Schizosaccharomyces pombe: one gene and its partners. Changing the gene in region 2 together with the main gene of any one other region gives a genetic interaction. Each region holds a gene or a part of one and is shown on either strand. Other genes may lie near its edges.

What was found. Genes that interact genetically often act in the same process or in processes that back each other up.
Region 1: mutations in swi1 (region 2) and rad21 are lethal when combined (synthetic lethality), as found in Schizosaccharomyces pombe (2 studies listed by BioGRID).
Region 3: mutations in swi1 (region 2) and mus81 are lethal when combined (synthetic lethality), as found in Schizosaccharomyces pombe (3 studies listed by BioGRID).

The regions. Positions count from the first base shown.
Region 1 is NC_003421.2:1,341,100-1,346,739, forward strand, and holds rad21 (mitotic cohesin complex non-SMC subunit Rad21), read left to right. Parts: upstream 1-1,793; 5' UTR 1,794-1,992; coding exon 1,993-2,025; exon of another isoform or gene 2,026-2,105; coding exon 2,106-3,959; 3' UTR 3,960-4,294; downstream 4,295-5,640. Other genes in the region: SPOM_SPCC338.18 (uncharacterized protein), read right to left, coding at 170-523; F-box protein Pof3, read right to left, coding at 4,295-5,640. UniProt on the Schizosaccharomyces pombe protein: Cleavable component of the cohesin complex, involved in chromosome cohesion during cell cycle. The cohesin complex is required for the cohesion of sister chromatids after DNA replication.
Region 2 is NC_003423.3:906,312-916,641, reverse strand, and holds swi1 (replication fork protection complex subunit Swi1), read left to right. Parts: upstream 1-1,862; 5' UTR 1,863-2,048; coding exon 2,049-2,996; intron 2,997-3,012; exon of another isoform or gene 3,013-3,071; coding exon 3,072-5,039; 3' UTR 5,040-5,116; downstream 5,117-10,330. Other genes in the region: TORC1 serine/threonine protein kinase Tor2, read left to right, coding at 1-1,371; ATR checkpoint kinase Rad3, read right to left, coding at 5,117-10,330. UniProt on the Schizosaccharomyces pombe protein: Forms a fork protection complex (FPC) with swi3. FPC coordinates leading and lagging strand synthesis and moves with the replication fork. It is required for programmed fork-pausing which is necessary for mating-type switching.
Region 3 is NC_003421.2:460,843-465,214, forward strand, and holds mus81 (Holliday junction resolvase subunit Mus81), read left to right. Parts: upstream 1-1,877; coding exon 1,878-1,973; exon of another isoform or gene 1,974-1,982; intron 1,983-2,139; exon of another isoform or gene 2,140-2,141; coding exon 2,142-3,872; downstream 3,873-4,372. Other genes in the region: PHD finger domain-containing protein Phf1, read left to right, coding at 1-660; mrpl4 (mitochondrial 54S ribosomal protein uL29m), read left to right, coding at 1,109-1,543; coq5 (C-methytransferase), read left to right, coding at 4,095-4,287.

The DNA of each region.
Region 1 (5,640 bases), on a different chromosome or scaffold from region 2:
TTTTTTATTTTCCAGTCGTTATACAAGGATCGTCGTAAACTAAGATACAACAGGGTAAGTTACTCATCGCTTTCAGGTAAACAAGAACACTGTCTTTTTATGATGATTCATTTTGAATTCGGACACAAAAAGCAGAAACGGGAGACCCAAAGAAATCAAGCTTTTCGTACTACTTCAAACCGGAGGAATTAAGTCTTAAACGGTTCAATAATGCATTTAATATGGGCAGAAGCACATAACGATATCCCACACTAGGAAAGCCCAAAGCAAGGCTAATTAATCCAAGCAACGAACCAAACGTCAAACTAAACATCAACGAGAATAAAAGTACAATTAGGCTAAATTTAAGAAATACACTTTGATGTTTAAACCATTGATAGCCCTCTTTGGATACCTCTTCAATAGACGAGTAGCTATAGCGCGACATAAGACTAGGACGACCATCATTTTCTAGATGTGGAGATTGCCCAATTGGAGATTCATCCTTCAATTCTCTTTTGATATCGATATTCTGTTCAGTCATTTTGTTTTGTGGCAATTTAGTTTAATATTCAATGTGTTCCAAAAGAAAAATAAACGTTAATAAAGGTAACTGTTGTATTATTAGACAATAGTCCTTAGCAATCTATTTAAATGTAACAATTGCTTTAGTAATTTATACTTTTTCTCTTTTAAAGTCAGTGAACCGTTGTTGGGAAAAGTCAAGAATCAAGGTTAGAAACATATACGTATTCATTTTATTTACGCCTTCCCCCACATTGGATATTGCCAACAATGAACAATGACATTAAACTTCTGCAGAGGCGAAAATAATGCTATACATTCATTTTATTTATTAAAATGATTTATGAGCGAATTGCCTTCTTCCAACAGTCAAACTCGAATTCCCCTTCACTAAAACATACGGGAACTGTTTTGCGCAGTGTCCACTATTGGGAAATGGAAAAATCGAATTTGCTAGACGAATATGGATGGAATTCTTGTCTATTCCTTTTTCTATTTTTTGTTTGATTTTTTAAATAAATTAGCTTGTTTATCGAATTTATCTGGATGGGGTTTATCGTTAAAAAAAAACACCCTACCCAAAAAAAAAAAATTTATTTATTTTTATAAGTATTTTTATTCATTAACCTTCTTCTGGCATACGAGTCACAATCAACCTTTTAATTTTGACAATAATATAATAGAAATAAAATAAATTTTCAGTCGTGGTAATTTCTATTACATATTCGTTTAATGTAATGTGTTTTGACATTACTAAAATGGGATGAAAACATCCTTTTACGAGTCTATTTAATCATACAGAAAAAATGGCATTGAAGATGCAATTAATGAATGGAATTCATTTGATAAATGTATTCAATGGAAGGATAATGCTTCCAAAATAAGGATGGTCAAAATTTAACTCAAGATTGTTAAAACAAGGTTGTAATCGGAGTTTTCCGTTTTATTGAAAAACATATCCCCTTATGTCTTATGACTATTTTAATTGAATAACATAATTCAAATGCCTTTTGTTGCCTTCTATGCACATATGTGAACGTAAATCTAGCGCATCATTTTATAATACAGTTAGTAGGCCGAAACATACAAGCATATAACAAAGATAAATCAACTTCTTCGAGGAAGCATATTCCCTTGATCATGCTCAACAGTTTCTAACTTCAATACAAGCTTTTTTTATTCATTTATTTAACTATTTGTTGCTACACATACTAGTTTGTTTATGTATCATATTCATTGTCGGCATGGCAACGTGGATTTATTTACGCGCAGCGCGTACTCATTTAACCAGCACCACGTATATTCATTTTTACAAATACCCAGCTTATATCGTAGTGAGGAGGCGAATTTTGCGAAAGAAAGCATTTCTTTCATTTTAATATTTATTAATTTTTTGTTTATTTTTGTTCTTTTTTGATTCCCCTCTTTTTTTTGTCTTTACTCTTTAATTTCTTTCTATCTTTTTCTCCTAATCATATTAAGCTTCTTATGTTCTATTCAGAGGCCATTCTTTCAAAAAAGGTATGTAGTTTATAAGTTTTCTTTAGCGCGTAAACAGTGCTAATTTGTCTTTGAATCGTCTGACTAACTGTTCGCGTTAGGGTCCTTTGGCCAAGGTATGGTTGGCAGCTCACTGGGAAAAGAAACTTTCCAAAGTGCAAACTTTGCACACCAGTATTGAGCAAAGCGTCCATGCAATTGTCACGGAGGAAACCGCTCCAATGGCCCTTCGCCTATCAGGACAACTAATGTTGGGTGTTGTTCGCATTTATTCCAGAAAGGCTAGGTATTTATTGGAGGATTGTACGGAAGCGTTGATGCGTTTGAAAATGTCCTTTCAACCGGGTCAGGTTGATATGATTGAACCAGCTACTGCTCTCCAATCTTTAAAAGGTAAAGATGCTGTGACACAGAGCGCTAATCTCACTCTTCCTGAGACAATTACAGAGTTTGATCTTTTGGTACCTGATAGTACATTTGATTTTCAATGGTCTCAACTTCTTCGTACACCCTCTCGTTCTTCGAACACTCTTGAACTACATTCTTTACCAATATCTTCCTCTCCTTCTTTTCCATCTTCCCAGCTATCAATTGAGGCTGGACGAAATGCCCAAGTAGAATCAGGGTTTTCCTTGGGCGAATCATTCGCACATGTTGGCAATGATATGCAGTTTCATCTTCCCATTTCAAATTCCGGTGCTGCTACACCTAGAAGTGTGCACTCTGATAATCAGTCCCAAATTTCTATAGAAGTAGGTAGAGATGCTCCTGCTGCTGCTGCCACCGATTTAAGTGGAATTATTGGGCCTCAAATGACTAAGTCGCCGGCTAGTTCAGTCACTCATTTTAGTACGCCAAGCATGCTACCAATAGGAGGAACTTCATTGGATGATGAATTGTTGGCTCCTGTTGATGATTTAAACCTGGATTTGGGCTTAGATGATCTTTTAGGAGATGAACAAGGTGCTAATGCTCCGGCGATAGAGGCTGATGAACAAGCTGAAACATCAAGTATTCATCTCCCTTCTGACATTATGGAAGATGATTCATCTCGTCCTGCAGCAGCAGGAGTAGAGGAAGGTCAGGTTGTTGAAAGCGCCACTGCTCCTCAACAGGAAAAGATCAATCCACAGAAAACTGTACGTCGTCAACGTGCAATTATTGATCCCGTTACTGAATTGTCCTCCAAGCAAATGAAAAAACAATTGGCAGATACATCTTCCATCACCTCACCGTTATGCTTGAATACATCTTCCATCGTGTTTAATGCCACCGTTAATTTTACTCGAAACGGTAAATTTAATACTTCCATATTTTCTTCCAACCTGAACCCTAAAGTAAACGAGCTTTTGCAAGCTGATTTCAAACAGGCAATTCTAAGAAAGAGAAAAAATGAGAGCCCAGAGGAAGTCGAGCCTGCCAAGCACCAACGTACTGATACCTCAACTGAAAACCAAGAAACTGCTGAAGTCTTGGACCCTGAAGAAATTGCAGCCGCTGAGCTTGCCAACATTACTGAAGCCGCTATCGCTACTTTACCACAAGAAACCGTTGTTCAACCAGAAGGAGAAGCTCCTGAGCTTGGTTCGCCAATGGGATTTCCTGTTACTGCCTTGGAATCAGCCGATGATTCACTTTTTGACGCTCCTCCCGTAATGCTGGACGAGGCCGATTTGCTGGGAAGCGAACGATTGGACTCTTCGGTATCTGAGGCCCTTCCTAGTTCACAAACAGCCAAAGATTCTCTACGCAATAAGTGGGATCCTTATACTGAAGGTGAAAAAGTATCCTTCCAAACTCTTAGTGCGGGATGCAATAGAGAGGAAGCTGTTCAACTTTTCTTTGATGTCCTCGTTTTAGCGACGAAGGATGTTATATCTGTCAAGCAGGATGTTGCCATTCAGAACGAAATCACGCTTACTGCTAAACGTGGAATGCTACTTTCATCACTATGAGAGGTCGGTTAATATTTTTTCAAAATCCAATTAGATCTATAAATAAGTGTGAATACTTACACGAAATAGATTTTTATGACAGTAATATTGTTCATTGCTTTCTTTTATCTTTATTTTATTTTTGGAATCACGAGTTGTATGTCTTTCTTTTTCCGAGTTACGATATTACTGTTGGATGTATGTAATATTATCAGCTCAACACAAAGTTATGATTAGAAATAGCTTACGCGCTTTTTAATTTATTCTCAATGATTGATCTATCTCTTAAAAATCTTCCTTTCAATGCGATGATACGGGTTTACTAGGATTGAATATATAAAGACAATATGATCATATTATATTAGGCGTATCTTTTTTGTACCCAATGGTTGAGAATTTGGAAGCGAGGAAGCTACGGTAACTTGCATACCTTTGGAGCGCGCCCAATCTATTGCATCTCTAGAAACAGAATCACAATTAATAATATCTATACGTTTTAATTCTTTCAGTCCTCGTAAAACTGCTATAAATCCCGATCCATCGAGGGATATTGAATTTGAAAAGTTCACATACTTTAGATTTGGACAACAATCAGTAATGTGTATTGCATGCTTATTTTGAAGAGCAACGTTATCAGGAATCTCAAGATGCTCAAGTTCCGGTAAAGATGCAAATATTTCAAAGAAATGGGGGGCCAATGCTAGCGAATCGTGTAGAACCAGCTTTTTTAGTTTGTAACAAGAAGTCAAAAATTTGACAACATTATCGATATCATTTTGAGATAAACGAAGATAAAGAAATAACTCTAAGTTGATTAGTGATTCCATCCGGACATTTGTAGGGAATAAATATGGACATAAAATTGTAGATGCAGGATTGCAGGGTTTCACAATTAACGTGGTAAGAGATTGAGGAAGGAATGCTAGATCTTTAACAGTATTCGATACTCCTTCATCAATGATAATTAACGATCGGAGATTAATTTTATATTTTTTTATTGCAGCAACTAGGTCTGACTGATATGAGGCTTCCAGATATTCTAAATATGGACTGGCAGACAGCAAGTCTTTAAGAAATTGCTGTTCTTTATGGTGAAAGGGAAACTTTTGATTTCGGATAAACGTCAAAGATTTAAGAGCCAGCGGTACAGATTCTGCATTAAAGAGTTTATCCCAATCCATAGAATCAAATATCAAATCGGGAATTAAGTCAACAAGCTCAACCTGCTTGAGTTTCTTACAGCAAGATAAAATCTTAGAAGCTATGGAAAATGTTATAGGAGTAGCACAATAAAAGTAGTGAAGTTCAGAAAATGGCGTCCAAATTGTATACAATTTATCCGTTGACTGAGTGTGGAGAGGTGAAATGGTTTTGTAGACTTTAAGTGATTTGACTGAACGAAGTAAGGCTTTGGTAGGTGTTAATATACCAAGCTTCTCTAAGCCAATTACTTCCTGTATATTGTCTTTTGAATAAACAGAGTATCGAGCAACAGCCATAACGTTTCGATCTCTAGAGTTTACACTTCGAGGAGAGGCGCATGAAAAGTCTAAGCAACAAAATAAGCTAGGTTCTTTCTTAATACAGTCTCTCCAGTGTTTGCAGACTTGCATACACTGAACAATACTTTTGAAATTTAGTTGCTGTAGAATACATAATAGGACTTCTCGGGGAAGAATGCGAAACAAATCTAGTACCGGCC
Region 2 (10,330 bases):
GAAGCAAGGGATTGTTGTATCCGTTTTGAGCAAACTGGTGATATATCAGACTTAAATCAGGCCTGGGACTTATATTACCAAGTTTTCAAGAAAATTCGTAAACAGCTACCTCAGTTGACAACATTAGATTTACAATACGTTTCTCCTAAACTCTTACATGTACATGATCTTGAGTTAGCTGTTCCGGGAACATACGTTAGCGGGAAACCTGTTATAAGAATTGTAAAGTTTTACCCTACATTCAACGTGATAACATCTAAGCAACGTCCGAGACGACTGAGTATTAAAGGCAGTGATGGAAAAGATTATCAATATGTTTTAAAGGGTCACGAGGACATCAGACAAGATGAACGTGTTATGCAGCTATTTGGGCTTTGTAACAATCTGTTACTAGCTGACCCGGAAACTTTTAAGCGCTTACTTTCAATCCAAAGGTATCCAGTGATTCCTTTATCACCGGATTCAGGCCTTTTAGGCTGGGTTTTGGATAGCGATACTTTGCATGTCTTAATTCGTGACTACAGAGAAAGCAGAAAGATTTTACTCAACATAGAACATAGGTTGATCATTCAGATGGCTCCAGATTACGATCGTCTCACTCTCCTTCAGAAAGTTGAAGTCTTTGAATATGCCCTACTTAGTACTACGGGGCAGGATTTATACCGCGTTTTATGGCTGAAGAGTCGTAGCTCAGAAGCTTGGCTTAATAGGCGAACTAACTATTCTCGTACTCTTGCGGTGATGTCAATGGTAGGGTACATCTTAGGTTTGGGCGATCGTCATCCTTCCAATTTGATGCTGGACAGGTATACAGGTAATATCATCCATATCGATTTTGGAGATTGTTTTGAAGTAGCAATGCATCGAGAAAAGTTTCCCGAGAAGATTCCTTTCCGCCTTACGCGAATGCTTGTTAACGCAATGGAAGTTAGTGGTATAGAGGGGACGTTCCGGATAACATGCGAACATGTTATGCGAGTTCTTCGTACTAATAAGGAGTCTGTGATGGCAGTTTTAGAAGCTTTCGTTTACGATCCTCTTATTAACTGGCGCCTTGCTCCTGCATATTCACCTTCTATCGATGAAAAGCAATCTAACGAACCTAATACACTTCTCGGTGAGACAATTGATGGTTTACACCGGAAACGCTTAAACGAAGAAGGAATTACACTTGAAGAACGTCAAAAACCCGAGATACTCAATCAAAGAGCTATAACCGTTCTTAATCGTGTGTCCAATAAACTTACTGGTCGGGATTTCAAACCCCAACAGCAATTGGATGTACCAAGTCAAGTAGAGAAGCTGATTTTACAAGCAACCTCTATAGAGAACCTATGCTTGTGCTATATTGGCTGGTGTAGTTTCTGGTAGGTGACAGTCCCAAACGTTCAAATTGCTTTTCTGCCGCATCATATATATATTCTATATTAAATAAAGTGTAAATAGTCTTTATGAATGAGTCCTGTAACAATTTATTACGTTGTTTTACAATTTTACAAAATAGAGGAAATGTTGAATTTGACGCAGAATTTTTAGAATTTTGTAGTAGAGAATGCATCTCTTTATATTGTTATTAAAGATTTGCTGCTTAATCATTCTGAAAATAATAAACTCTAAATTTCTACATCTGAAATTGTGAAAATTATTGAAACTAAATTCTAATTATGCATTGTACAAGTTAGGTAGCAAATTCGTTTTGTTGAGTCCATATTATCGAATTTTATAATATAATACTGAATGCCATTTTAATGCGATTTAAATTATAAAGTGTTTTACTTTACACACATTTTTTTAAAAATCCAAGTTATTTTGAAAAGTTAAATATTGTTTTAAAAATTTATTATTCATTGTTTACTGTCACCACCCCTCTTCACGTATCTACAATCAAATTTACTTATCTTAAAAGAATACGATTATTCATGAACATAATTAATATCGCTTAATTATTAAAATTTATTTAATTTCTTAAATTTGGTTTATTTATCGACGCATACCGACAATACAAAAAAAAGGAACTTGAGAGCTTTTGATTTAACAAATCAACTTGAATGGAATTAGATGAGGTGATTCAAGGCATTGTTTCTGCCATTGGAGGATTTGACTATTCAGACGATGAAAAAGTGTACGTTCTTGGTGATGAAGCTTTGGCTTGCCTAAAGGATCTGAAGCGCTATCTTCAAGTAGTCGATGAAAAGTACAAAGTTTGGCAAATTCGATCTTTGCTCTCGAGCTTACAGTTGGTAACTAATGATATATGTCCAATACTCTCTGACTGGGATAAAGACATTACTAATTACAGAAACTGGCGTATCGCTTTAGCTTGTGTTGAGCTTCTTGTACCATTAACATGGCCTTTGGAGACTGAGCATGAAACATTCAGAGAAAATGTTGATGTTCTCTATAATCTGCGTCAAGCTCAATCAAATTATAAAAATTCAATTTTATCTTACAAGAAGGGGAGCGTTTTATCCGCCATTTTAGCTGTTTTACTAAAGCCCTTAAGTACTCCCGCAGAATCCAGAACACTTAGAGACAAGGGAATAATCAGGATAGTGCTGTTACTATTTCGAAACATTCTTCAAATCGATGAATTAAAAACAAAAAATGAAACAATTATCTCGTTTGCGAAAGCTCATATATTAGATTTGATTGTCACACTGGTCTCGAATCTCGATGAATTTGAGCATTTTGATGTTTACATATTAGAAATAGTCTACAACTTGATCAGAGGTTGTAAGCCATCAGCCCTTTTCTCTGATGCCTCATTGACTAACTCTCAAACCGAACTTAATAGCTTACTCCTCAAAGAGTCGACCCAAAATCGCTATTTGAAACGAAATGCACATACGAGGCATAATAGATTTGGAACCATGCTTTCTGTTCAAACTGAAGACAGAAGATTTACTATTGCTAGCCAAAATATAAAAACCGACGGCCTTGATGAGCTTGACTCTCATAAGCGTTTTCGAAAACGAGGAACACGTCGAAAACATTTTGTATGTACTTAGTTAAACACGATGTTTGTTTAAATTTTTTTTTCCAATTCAACTATTCTATTCTAACAATATTAGGATGACATAAACAAATCGTTCTTTATCAATACCGAGGCAGGTACTGCATTAAGGAACTTTGCTGTCGAATTTTTGGAAGCTGGATTCAATCCATTATTTCAGTCTCTCTTAAAAGACTTGGAAAGAGAAGATCCTCGTGTGCTTCCAATTCATAAAATGCAATTATTATACGTTCAGTCATTTTTTTTGGAATTCATGAGATTTTCGTCTAAACCAAAAAAAACAGAAGAAATTTACTCTAATGATTATAGTTTTGGCTTAGCAGCCTCCGTTTTTGACCAACGAGCTTTGATTATGCACAACAGGTTAATGGTAGAATCCTTTGAAATGAAACAATGGAGCACCTTCCAAGCATCCATGCTTTCGATGACTCAATTACTTTTCACTCTTCGAAGTATGACACTTTGTTCCTCAGAAATTTACCAAAGAATTGCCGATAATCTACTAAGCAATATCTTTTACCAAGAGGAAATTCTTTTACTTGTTTATAGCGCTTTAAAGCATTTTAAAACTCAGTCCTTTGGGTATTTAGATGCAATAACTGAGCTAACTATAGTGCTATTAAAGGAGCTTGAGAAATTTAGCAGTGCTAAACAATATCTCTATGTGAAAAAGAGAAGGAGAAATCAGAAATCTGTTGATAGCAATGTCTTGGAATCGGATGAAGATGAAGAAAGCAGCTTGATTAATGCTAATGCAGCCGTTGAGGACCGTCTGTTTGATTTCGGCAGATATGAGTCTAGGTACTGTGATAATGGATGTATTGATAGTTTCGTGCTGTTCCTTCAATGTTACCAAGATCTGGATTCAAAACAAATTCATAGGGCTATTTCCTTTTTTTACCGCATTTTCGTGAAGCAAAAATGCCATGTTTATTTGTATCGTCTCGATTTCCTACGTGTTCTGGACAAAATGTTTAATGACCATGTCTATTTTTCTACTACAAATTCAGCAAGACAGGATTTTGAACAATTTTTTGTATATTATATGCGAAAGCTTTCAGATGCATTAAAAGATGTACCAGCACTTTTTATTGAGTTGCCTTTCCCAAAATTAACCGACACATTTTATTATCTGGAATATGGAAAAAGTCCACTTTTCTCTATTCATGGTTCGAGAAAAGGCCCGTTATACGAGACGGTGCCTGGCTTATCACATTTGGAAAAGGTGGCTGCCGTTGTTGCATGCCTTATAAATGAAAACAAAAGTGATTTATTAGATGAATTGAAAGTTCAACTTAATTGCCTCATTTCAGAAAGAAAGCTAATAACGCTAGCTGACGAGAACAAATATATAAATGAAGGTGGAAATGATGGTGAAAGAATGGGGAAGAATTTGAAAGGAGACACAGATTCATTTAATACGGCCCTTTTGAAAGACGGAAAATTTCGTCTATTATTAGAATTATGTGGATTCGAAGAATCAGATAACAATATAGACGTTCAAGCACTATGGAAATTACCAAATTCTGTTATAATTGATGAACTTGTTGAGCATGCCATGTTGTTGAGAAGGTTTACTGATGATCCGCCGACGTTTGAAGGCACCAAGCCCGAAGATTTATTAGTGAGGAAGCAAAGAGGAAATGTTCGTTTACCATCAAGTAGTGAGGGTGAAACATCTGACGAAGAAATTGAATTTGAAGCAGATGATCCTATAACTTTCGCCAATCGTCGAGAAGCGTTAAATAAGATTACTGACAGAAAACGTAAAAAGATGAAAACTAACGAAACTATTATTGACCATACAACTCGAAAGAAAAAGGAAAACCATTTACGATCTGCAAAATATATTGTTGATTCGGATGATGACTCAGAAACAGATATAGCTTTTTTTCAATCAGAAGCTGCTTTACGAGAGAAAAATGCACAAAAAGCCAGTGCCCTATTTAAGCGAATCGACGATTTAGAAATGGAAGGAAAATTACAAGAAATTGAACAACTCAGCGAGAATTCTTCATCGGATTAATAAATAAAATATCTTCGATTCAAATCATAAGTTTAATAATGGGTAGCTTGTTCATTGAAATTTTTGTTAGTAAAATGCTAGAAATAAGCAGCCCAACCAATGTACATTTCTACCAGGTTTTTTGGGTTGACAGCAGATTTGATCAATTCTTGAATTTGCCCTTCAATAGATAAAGGTATCGTCTCCCCTGGCATAAAGCCTTGAAATTTTTTGCGAATTATATCCAAAACTTCATTTGCTTCATTATTCGGGTACTTGCTTGACGACTTCTTTCTATTCCACTCGACTAAAGGATCATGTAGGAAAGACTCTAGTACGCTCATCAATGTATCTTGGTTTGAGCGAAGAAGCCGCATCGTTATTTCGCTAGCTTTCCTGAAACCCCCTTCATAACCTGTCGGACCCATTGCATCTACCATATTATGAGTTAATCTGAACGGCACCTTTTCAGGTTTTTCAAAAGTAAGACCTTTATCAAAAAGACAGTTGAAATCGACATGGATAGCTTCACCTGTAAATTCATCAAACAATATGTTTTCGCCATGGCGATCTCCCAAACCCAAAACGTAGCCAACTATTGACATTACTGCTAAAGTTCGGCAATAGTTTTGTCTACTAGTAACCCAATTATTTGGTTCTGGGAAAGATTCAACAAACCACTCATAAAAAACTGGAGGAAATTTCGGTAAGATTTTCTTTTCAAATATATCACCAGGGTTAGGACTTCGCAGTGCAAAGTCTAAATCAACTTTGATTTCTTGATATGATATGGGAATGTTTTTCTGTCTATAGCTTTTTAACAAAATTTCTCTAAATGGACGAGTATGATTTACCCATTCGATAAATCCGCATTCTTCATTTAAAGGAATAACAACATAAGTTCTAATACACAAGTTCCTTCTGTTCGCTTCTTGATCTTTCCTCAATATTTTACAAATAAGATTATTAAATTCCATCAATCTAGCATCCTTACGAAGATCATCTTTGGGTTTGCACAAGAATGGGTATAAGTTGCCATCCGTACCTCTAACGTACACTTTTCTTGGTTTTTGAAGAGAGTTCATTATATCCACCTCATCCTCAAATTTCAACAGAGTAGGCTGAGTTTTTGGAAATGGATAATGACTAGCTCTGTTAGCATCTTTAGCTGGTAAAGTAATGTCTAAAAATGATTTAGCAGGAATGACTAAATCTACCGGATCATCAAAAGAAAGCCGAAAATGATCCTTTAAGCTCATTTTTACAGATTTACTGTTAATCCTTGTATTGCACAAATTGATTAACTTTTCAGTAATGAGAATTGCAGATTGACTGAGTGCTTTTATATCAACTTTGGAAGACATAGAAAGCTTCCTAGAATGTAAAACATTTAAAATGCTTTTTCCACGAAGCGAGCGCTTTTGAGAAGTCGATTTTATTGTTGCCATTAATTGCCATAGCGTCTCCCCAGGATAAGATGCTACAACGTTTGCAATTATATGTTCCAAAATTTTATAAACTTTATTATTTGGATGGCATACTCTGGATATCATTTGGGATAATGCAACCAGAAAAAAGTATTGAGGAATTTTCATAGAAAGGCGACAAACATTCGAATTCATAAGTTCCAAAGATTTTTTTCTCGAAGAGATAATGTGTTCACGAAAGTACTTTTCGCCGTCATCTTTAGATAAGCGAAGTTCTTCGGCCCCAAAATCAAGCCACAGTGTGAGCAATTTTGGCATACTTTCATATATATGATTTGTACCATAGTACAAAGATCGACCAAATTCGTTAATTATGCGAGTTACTAACTCACCACTTAAAAATCGTTCGCTCTGTTCATTAACTGGGAGCTTTTGTTCTTCTTCATACATTAAAACTCGATGATGGCCAAGATAATAATGCGTATTCTCACATTCTGAGTAAATCTCTACCGCTTTATGATAATACGTCTCCAAATCCTTCAATCCCAGTTGGCCAGCTTTTCCGAGCCATTTTGTAAGTTTCAAGAACACTTTTCCTTTAAGTGGATTTCCTAAAGTTTCTTTACGATTTTTAGGTCTTTCTTCATGCTCATCAACCAAATCAAACATGTTGTTATTAAGCGAAAAATTCAATTCAGAAATAGCTTTACGATGTTGCCCTTGATGCCACCACCATTGTGCGTGCTCTATTGTTGCTAGCGGTTTATCTAAATCCATTGCTTTGAGGATGGCATTGAAGGCTCTTTGAAATTGACCATTTTTTCGAGATATTCTTGCAATCTCGAGATATATTTCAGCAGTTTTCTTCGTGTTTTCAAATTTTTCATAGCCAACTAAGTGAGTGGACAGGATTTGGTGCTTGAATTTACCGTACGGAGCTACTTGGCTAAGCCGACGGCGAAGAACAATATCAAGATTGTCGGAAACAATTCCGTCAGTTTCAGCAATCCTACTAAAGTCATTAATTGCGTGCAGCTTAGATAAAATATCATAACAATCATAGGCTGAATGGGCGCCTGTGTTTGCAATTGCTGTAGCAGCATCAACGTACAAGGGTTGCAGCCGCTCCGTCAATTCAGCAAAAGAATCCTTCCGTAGGTATTGGTAAAATATGCTACCCAATTTAGCTTCGAAAGATTCCAAGTTGCTTTTTGAAAGACACTTTTTTAACGAATCAATAGATAGCGAACGCCATGAAGCTTCAATACCCAAATTTAACATCTTCGAATACTCGTGGTTGTCATTGATTATAAAAGAATCTAAACTCAAAACAAGAGATTCATAATGCCCCGATTGCAGCATGCTGTTAAGCAAACCGATTTTCGCCTTTTTATTTTCAGGATCCTTTTGAATAATAATTTCGTAACAACTCAAAGCCGAGTCCCATGTTCCTGAATTTTCATGTAAAAGGAGTTGTTGATCAAACGAGTAATCATGGAAATTTAAAGACACTGCTTCGATTTCATCTGGATCATCAATTCCAGCATATATTTCCTGCAAAACTCTATAATCGGACTCTAAAGCTGCATATGGAGCTGTAGCATTACGTATGTGTTGCTCCCAATAAAACAATGCACGAGCATGAAATCCACAATTTAAAGAGACAATACCTAATGTTTTTGAAGGAAATCGAGAAAGAAATGACTCAACTTTTGAGATCGATGATTCTCGAGAGGTAGCATCTTCCACCGACATATAACGGTTCTCTTTCCTTGCAATGGCAGAACGTCTATCCCAATTCCTCTTCTTTCGCATGCGAAGCCATTTGTTAAGGTAATCCACAATCTTAAAAAATACATCTACAAATGAGGTGTATCTTTGTTGCCCCACGGAATTTAATCCATCAGGTCCCGGTTGATTAATAACAAGCTGGAATTCTTCAATGACTTTATTAACTTCCAGTTCTGACTCGGTTAAAATAACATTTAAAACAAGAAAGGGAAGAAGAAAACAGGGAATGTTAACCTCTTGGTCTTTCACTACTTTCGAACAAATACCAAATATTTTTTCAGCGTTTTGCGAATGGGCGTACTCCATCAATTTAAGAGAAAACAACTGCATCCAAGTATGAATAGTAACATTTTCTTTATAAATAGGGTACCGAATGTCAATTTTGGGGATTGGTGTTAAATGATACTTGGAAGTTAAAAATGGTATAAGCACACGTTTGGATAAATCAGGCAAAGACATCCAATGTTCTGTTACCACAGTTAGTCCCTTTTTTTTATTAATCACTGCGGACTTGAATCCACCAAGCTTTAGAAACTCTTGCAGAGCATAGGCAAGAAAACCTTGTGCTTTAGTATCAGTAGTAACAAGGAAAGCTGGAATTAACTGCGATTGCATAAAATCTAGAATAAACTTCAAACTTTCTTCTCCGTTTTCAAAGTTATCAAGAACAACTGTTTCTTTAATAATATGTTGAGCCTTGGCGCGGCTGGGATCTATCGCACCCAATTCACCAAGATTTTTTGCAGCAAGATATGATATTTGCATATTTGTTGAAGCATATTTTACACAACAATCTAAAAGGCATCTTAGTAATTGGTCCAGAACTTCGTTGGATATGTCCAAATTTAGTGTGTCATGTAACTCGTCCACCTTGGCTTGAAAAAAAAGTTCTAATTTTTGTAAACCTAAATAACAAACTGGCTCATTTTCGTTAGTTAAACACTTAATTATACTTTGAAGCTCAGAGTAAAAATCTTCATTTTGAAGCGAACAGAATATTTCTTTAGCCTTAAGGCTAAAGCACGCTGAATCCAGACTGGTGGGGATAGCCCACTTTAATCCTTGTAGGCACTTGTGTGTGTCAGAAGAAATAAAATCAAATATTTGAATTACTAGCTCTGCTTCTTGTGGTTCTAAATAAGGGAATAAAGGAGGTAAAATTACAAGACTTAAACCAGCAATTGAACTATACTCGGGCTCCTTGGTTGCTAATATCAAACTGAACCAAGCTTTGATTGCATAAAACCTTAAGTGCTCATTTTGAAAAGCACTTTGTAAATTAGAAAGTATCTGTGGTAATCCAAGTTTGACTGCACCTCCACATAAAGATAACATTTTTTCAATGCCGACAATTGTCTTAATCTTTTCATTAATTGAAGTCTTTCCTTTCAGGTCGTTAAGGATATTAGAAAATTCTGCTAAGATACCCAAAATGTGATTATTAAAAAAATCATAAAGTAATTCCTTATTGCTCAAGTCTTCGTCATTAACCACTTGAGAGACAATCATTGCTACCTTTCTTAAAGCATTTTCAATTTTTTCATGAGGAACATCATTCTGATAAAGCTGTAACAACTCCACAGTAATAGAAATAGGATCAGAGCGTAACAAAGACGTTAAATCAACTTTTTCAAAATCAGAAGTGGCCAGTGAAAGAAGAAGCATCACACTCTCTTCCAAATTAGGATGATCCGTAGTAAGTAGCGAAGCAAGGATTTTATGCATATTGGTAAGGCACAAAGTAGCAACATCACTTTGTGAAAGTTCAGCTATACGTACTATTAACGCTTTGTTTTTAGTAAGTACAAGGAATGGTAAAGTGTACGCCTGTGTTCGAATAAGAAAATCGCCCTCGGAAATATTCATAAGCTGAGCAAATAAACTGGCTATGTTCGGTTTTTTACCCATACCTTGGACAATCGCAACGGACACTGTTGGCCAATATGGAGAAAGTAATTGCCAAACGGATATATGACGCGTCGAGGCAATTTGTTGCAGAGCGCTGAGACCAATGCCTTGATAAAATATTCCGCTGTTTATCACAGAAGATATAACTTCCAATAGTACAAAATGTAATTCTTCTTCTTCTACCAC
Region 3 (4,372 bases), on a different chromosome or scaffold from region 2:
TGCCAGTACAGGCGTGCCAAGCAACCTTTAGAAACGGGAATGACGGCACAAGATCTTGGGTTAAGTGAATCAGACAAAAAAATGTATCTATCAAGTTTACCTACTCCTCATCTCGCAGATCTTATTCTTTTTTGTGAAAAGTCTTATCCATCTCTTCCCATATACAACCCACGTACTCGGGAGTTGTTGGGTGAGATTCGGCATCAACTACTTGTTAGTTCTGAACGCCAACAAATATCTTTACAAGAGCGACTTCATGCTAAACAAGATGAAGCTCCCTCTGATGAGCCTGCACCTGTCCCCTATACCGCAAGTTATGTTGCGAATTCTGGAACCTTATACGACTATCCAACGTTAATACGGTTAGCTATTCGTAACACCCTCTCACCTTCCAAAGATGAAATATTTAACTGGCTTGCTCAAAACGTACCATTGTTACCAACTTTTCACGACAGCGCTTCCGAGGCCATTCGTTGGATGGTAAATAAAGGTCAACTGGTCCGTTCCGGTAGCATCTATCAAATAGCAACAGTCGAAGAATACCCTCACCTCCAACCCTCTTTACTTCCTACTTTTCAACGAAACCGTAAGGTACCTAAATTGGTGCCTGTCTCTTTCCCCACCGATGATCCTCAAAATTTATGTGCTACTGTTTTATGAAACTGAACAAATTTTTCTAAATGTATAGACAAAAAAAATTTCTTTACTTCCCGTTTTTAATTAAACGGTTGCGTCCCGTTAATCTCGAAATAAATTTATAAGCGGTCGAAAGCAATGTATCATTACACCATGTATTAGCTGCAAATCAAAGTACTTTAGTATTTCCTTCATGGATTCAAACTTTTCACTCGATAACAAATCTAGGGAAAATACATAAATCGCCCTACACACTTTCTGTTTACATTATAAACTTTTCGTTTGGAATGTTTCCTCGCCATGAAATCTTAAAATAAAATAAAATAAGGAAATGAACAATTTCTCAATTTAGCAATAATTAAGAAAGTCAATGAAGTATAATAAAAAATAATTATTTTTAAAGTATGACTTACAACCATTATTATCGGTCAATGTCAGGGTGTTACAGCGCACCTTCTACTTACCACCAAAGATGAGGTCCACGTTGGCTAGCGCTCAGAAAGCAGCCGTACGTATTCCAAAGGGCTTTGTATTTCCTGTTCCAAAAGTAAAAAGTGCTCCTAAGGTTTCAGACACGCACCCTTTGTGGAATTTCTTTCGGGACAAGCAAGCCCTTCCACCACCATCGGAAGAGGCTAAATTCGGTAGAGCATGGGCTGCAGAAGAGCTTCGTTGGAAGTCTTTTAATGATCTACATGGACTTTGGTACAATTGTCTCCGAGAGAAGAACCTATTGTTCACACAAAGGGCTGAAATGAAACGCTTACAGTTGACTATTCCCAAAGCCTCAAATGAGCGTGTACTTGCAGTCAATAAAACCATGGCAGCTATCAAATTTGTCCTATGGGAACGCCAAAGAGCATATACTTCTGCCAAGCAGCTCGAGAAACAAAAGGGATCTTCTTAAACCCCTTCCTTTTAGGAAAACAGAAAATCATCCAAGTATGGCTTTATTATGATCTAAAGCTTCATCATTTCACAAACTTTCTAAAAATATACCCTAATACACGAGAAACTGTTTTATAATGATGATAATGATTTTTTATTTTGTTCACCTATAATTGTTTTCTTTATTTTGTTTATACTGATCATAAAATCTCGGTTGTCCCGGCAACCATGCTAATGTCTTTACACGAAATTTAGGAAATCGCATTCTATCCACATCCATTTGTTTAGACTTTTGTTTCGTGTGACAATCGATAATTTGAATGAAATAGTTTTTTTCTTTGTTTTTCGGATCCATGGATTGTGGAAATCCGCTGTTTTTACAATGGATACAGGAGTGGATGGAAGAGTCGACGCGTCGCTTCCCCAAGTCATATCAAACCTGGAGAAAGGTAGGAAATTTATTGGATTAGTGAAAAACTCTTTGAAAAATAAATAATTTAAATATTAAATTAATAATGACTGTAATTTTTCGAAAGCTTTTATAGCTTCGTACTCCATAAATATCATAACAATCACTGTTGTTGTTGTTTTAAATAAGAAACCGTGCTAATAATTAGGCCTACGATTCAATGAAAAGTTGCCCCATCACATTTCATCGTCCTTCTCAGGCATTGGCACTGAAGGGAATTGGCCCTACGATTTGTGCCAAGCTAGAAAAGAAATGGAACGCTTACTGTTTGGAAAATAATATTCCAATTAGCACGCACAATGAACAGAATGATTCTCATGTCAATGCTAATAAATCGTCTTCTGAGACTTCTTCTGAAAAGCCTCGAAGCGTTAAAAAACCGACTACAAGAAAGAGAAAGGTCTATGTTCCGAGCTATCGTTCTGGTGCATATTCAATTCTTTGCGCTCTTTATATGCTTAATAAACACGAATTCGCTACAAAGCCTCAAATTGTTACGATGGCCCAACCGTATTGTGATTCGTCCTTTGGATCTGCTACAGACCGAAACATGCGTTATACTGCATGGAGTGCTATGAAGACTTTGATCACAAAAAATTTAGTTTACCAGACAGGTCATCCCTCTAAGTACTGCTTGACCGACGATGGTGAAGAAGTTTGCATACGTTTGGCAAAAGTAGACGATTCCTTTCAACGGAAACATACTGTATCAAACTTTTCTGTCTCTAAATCCGATGATCATGATTCCTCTTTATGCCAACCTCCAAATTTTGTTACATCAATCAATAAAGCAGGAAGTTCTTCAGACCACGGAGGTGAACTACATGTTACTTACTGTCCGGTAGATCATAATGAAGTTTCTGATGGTGTTGAAACCGATATAGATGTTGATCAGGTGGATTCGTTGACCGGAATTCATGATCACCATATCATTAACAATGAGCAGTTGATTGACTTGACGGAACAAGAAAAAAAGCAACCAAATGAAAGCAATTTGTCTAACTTAAAAATCGAGACGGTATTATTCTCAAACTGTACGGTTTTTCTTCTGATTGATACTCGAGAAATACGTTCTCCCTTGGATCGCAATCTTATTATCGATAAACTGACTAATGACTTTGGTGTCAATTGTCAGGTACGATCATTAGAATTGGGAGATGCTTTATGGGTTGCAAGGGATATGGAAAGCGGTCAAGAAGTTGTGTTGGATTTTGTCGTTGAAAGGAAAAGATATGATGATTTAGTTGCTTCCATTAAGGACGGAAGATTTCACGAACAAAAGGCACGTCTAAAGAAGAGCGGAATACGTTCAGTCACCTACATTTTGGAGGAATCCTCTTATGATGAAAGTTTCACGGAATCAATTCGTACAGCTGTTAGCAATACCCAAGTCGATCAATTATTTCATGTCCGTCATACGCGATCACTTGAACACAGCGTAAGTTTGCTTGCTGAAATGACAAAGCAAATTAACCTGTTTTATGAGAAACGTAAAACCCTCGCTGTCATTCCCGATTTGTCGATAGAAGCCAAAACTTATGAGTCGTTACGAGAGCAACTTCTAAAAATTGATCCCTCAACTCCTTACCACATATCATACCATGCATTTTCCTCTGTCCTCTCGAAGTCTTCTACTTTGACCGTGGGGGATATTTTTATTCGAATGCTTATGACTATAAAAGGTATAAGTGCTTCAAAAGCCATCGAGATTCAGAAGAAATATCCAACATTCATGCATTTATTTGAGGCGTACGAAAAGTCATCATCTAGCCAGGAAAGAAACTTATTACTGAATAAGACTTGTCAAGGCTATGGTTTTCAAACAATAGGGCCAGCACTTTCCGCCAAGGTCGCAAGCGTTTTCTTTCCAGAATCTTGAGCCTTTGAACTTTTATTTATTTATGATTCATAATATTTATTCAATTTTCTTATCATTTCCCATATATTTAATTTACCTTTGCTTTACCATCGGAAATTGCGTATGTTAGTGTATTGCGGTATATAGGTAGCATCAGATTCCCTTCAAATCGTGAGTTTCTACCTAGCACTATCCATAAACAAAACCGTTACACTTGGTATTCGTTTTTGAAACTGCTGTATCATGTCACGTTTAAGAGCTCCTGTTGCTAAATTTTTAGCTGATGGATTGAAAGGAATCAGGTCTACAGCTTTGGCTGGCTCTCGATTGTCTAATTGTCGCTATACCAGTACTAGCTCGAAAGATACTGATACCTCAAGCCACATGACTCATTTTGGATTTAAAGACGTTCCGGAAGATGAAAAAGAGCACCTTGGTATGTATGGAAGAACTGGTTTGCTAGGACATGTGATTTGATTGTAAATCATAACATTTTGCATTTTGCATTTACTGAAGAAATT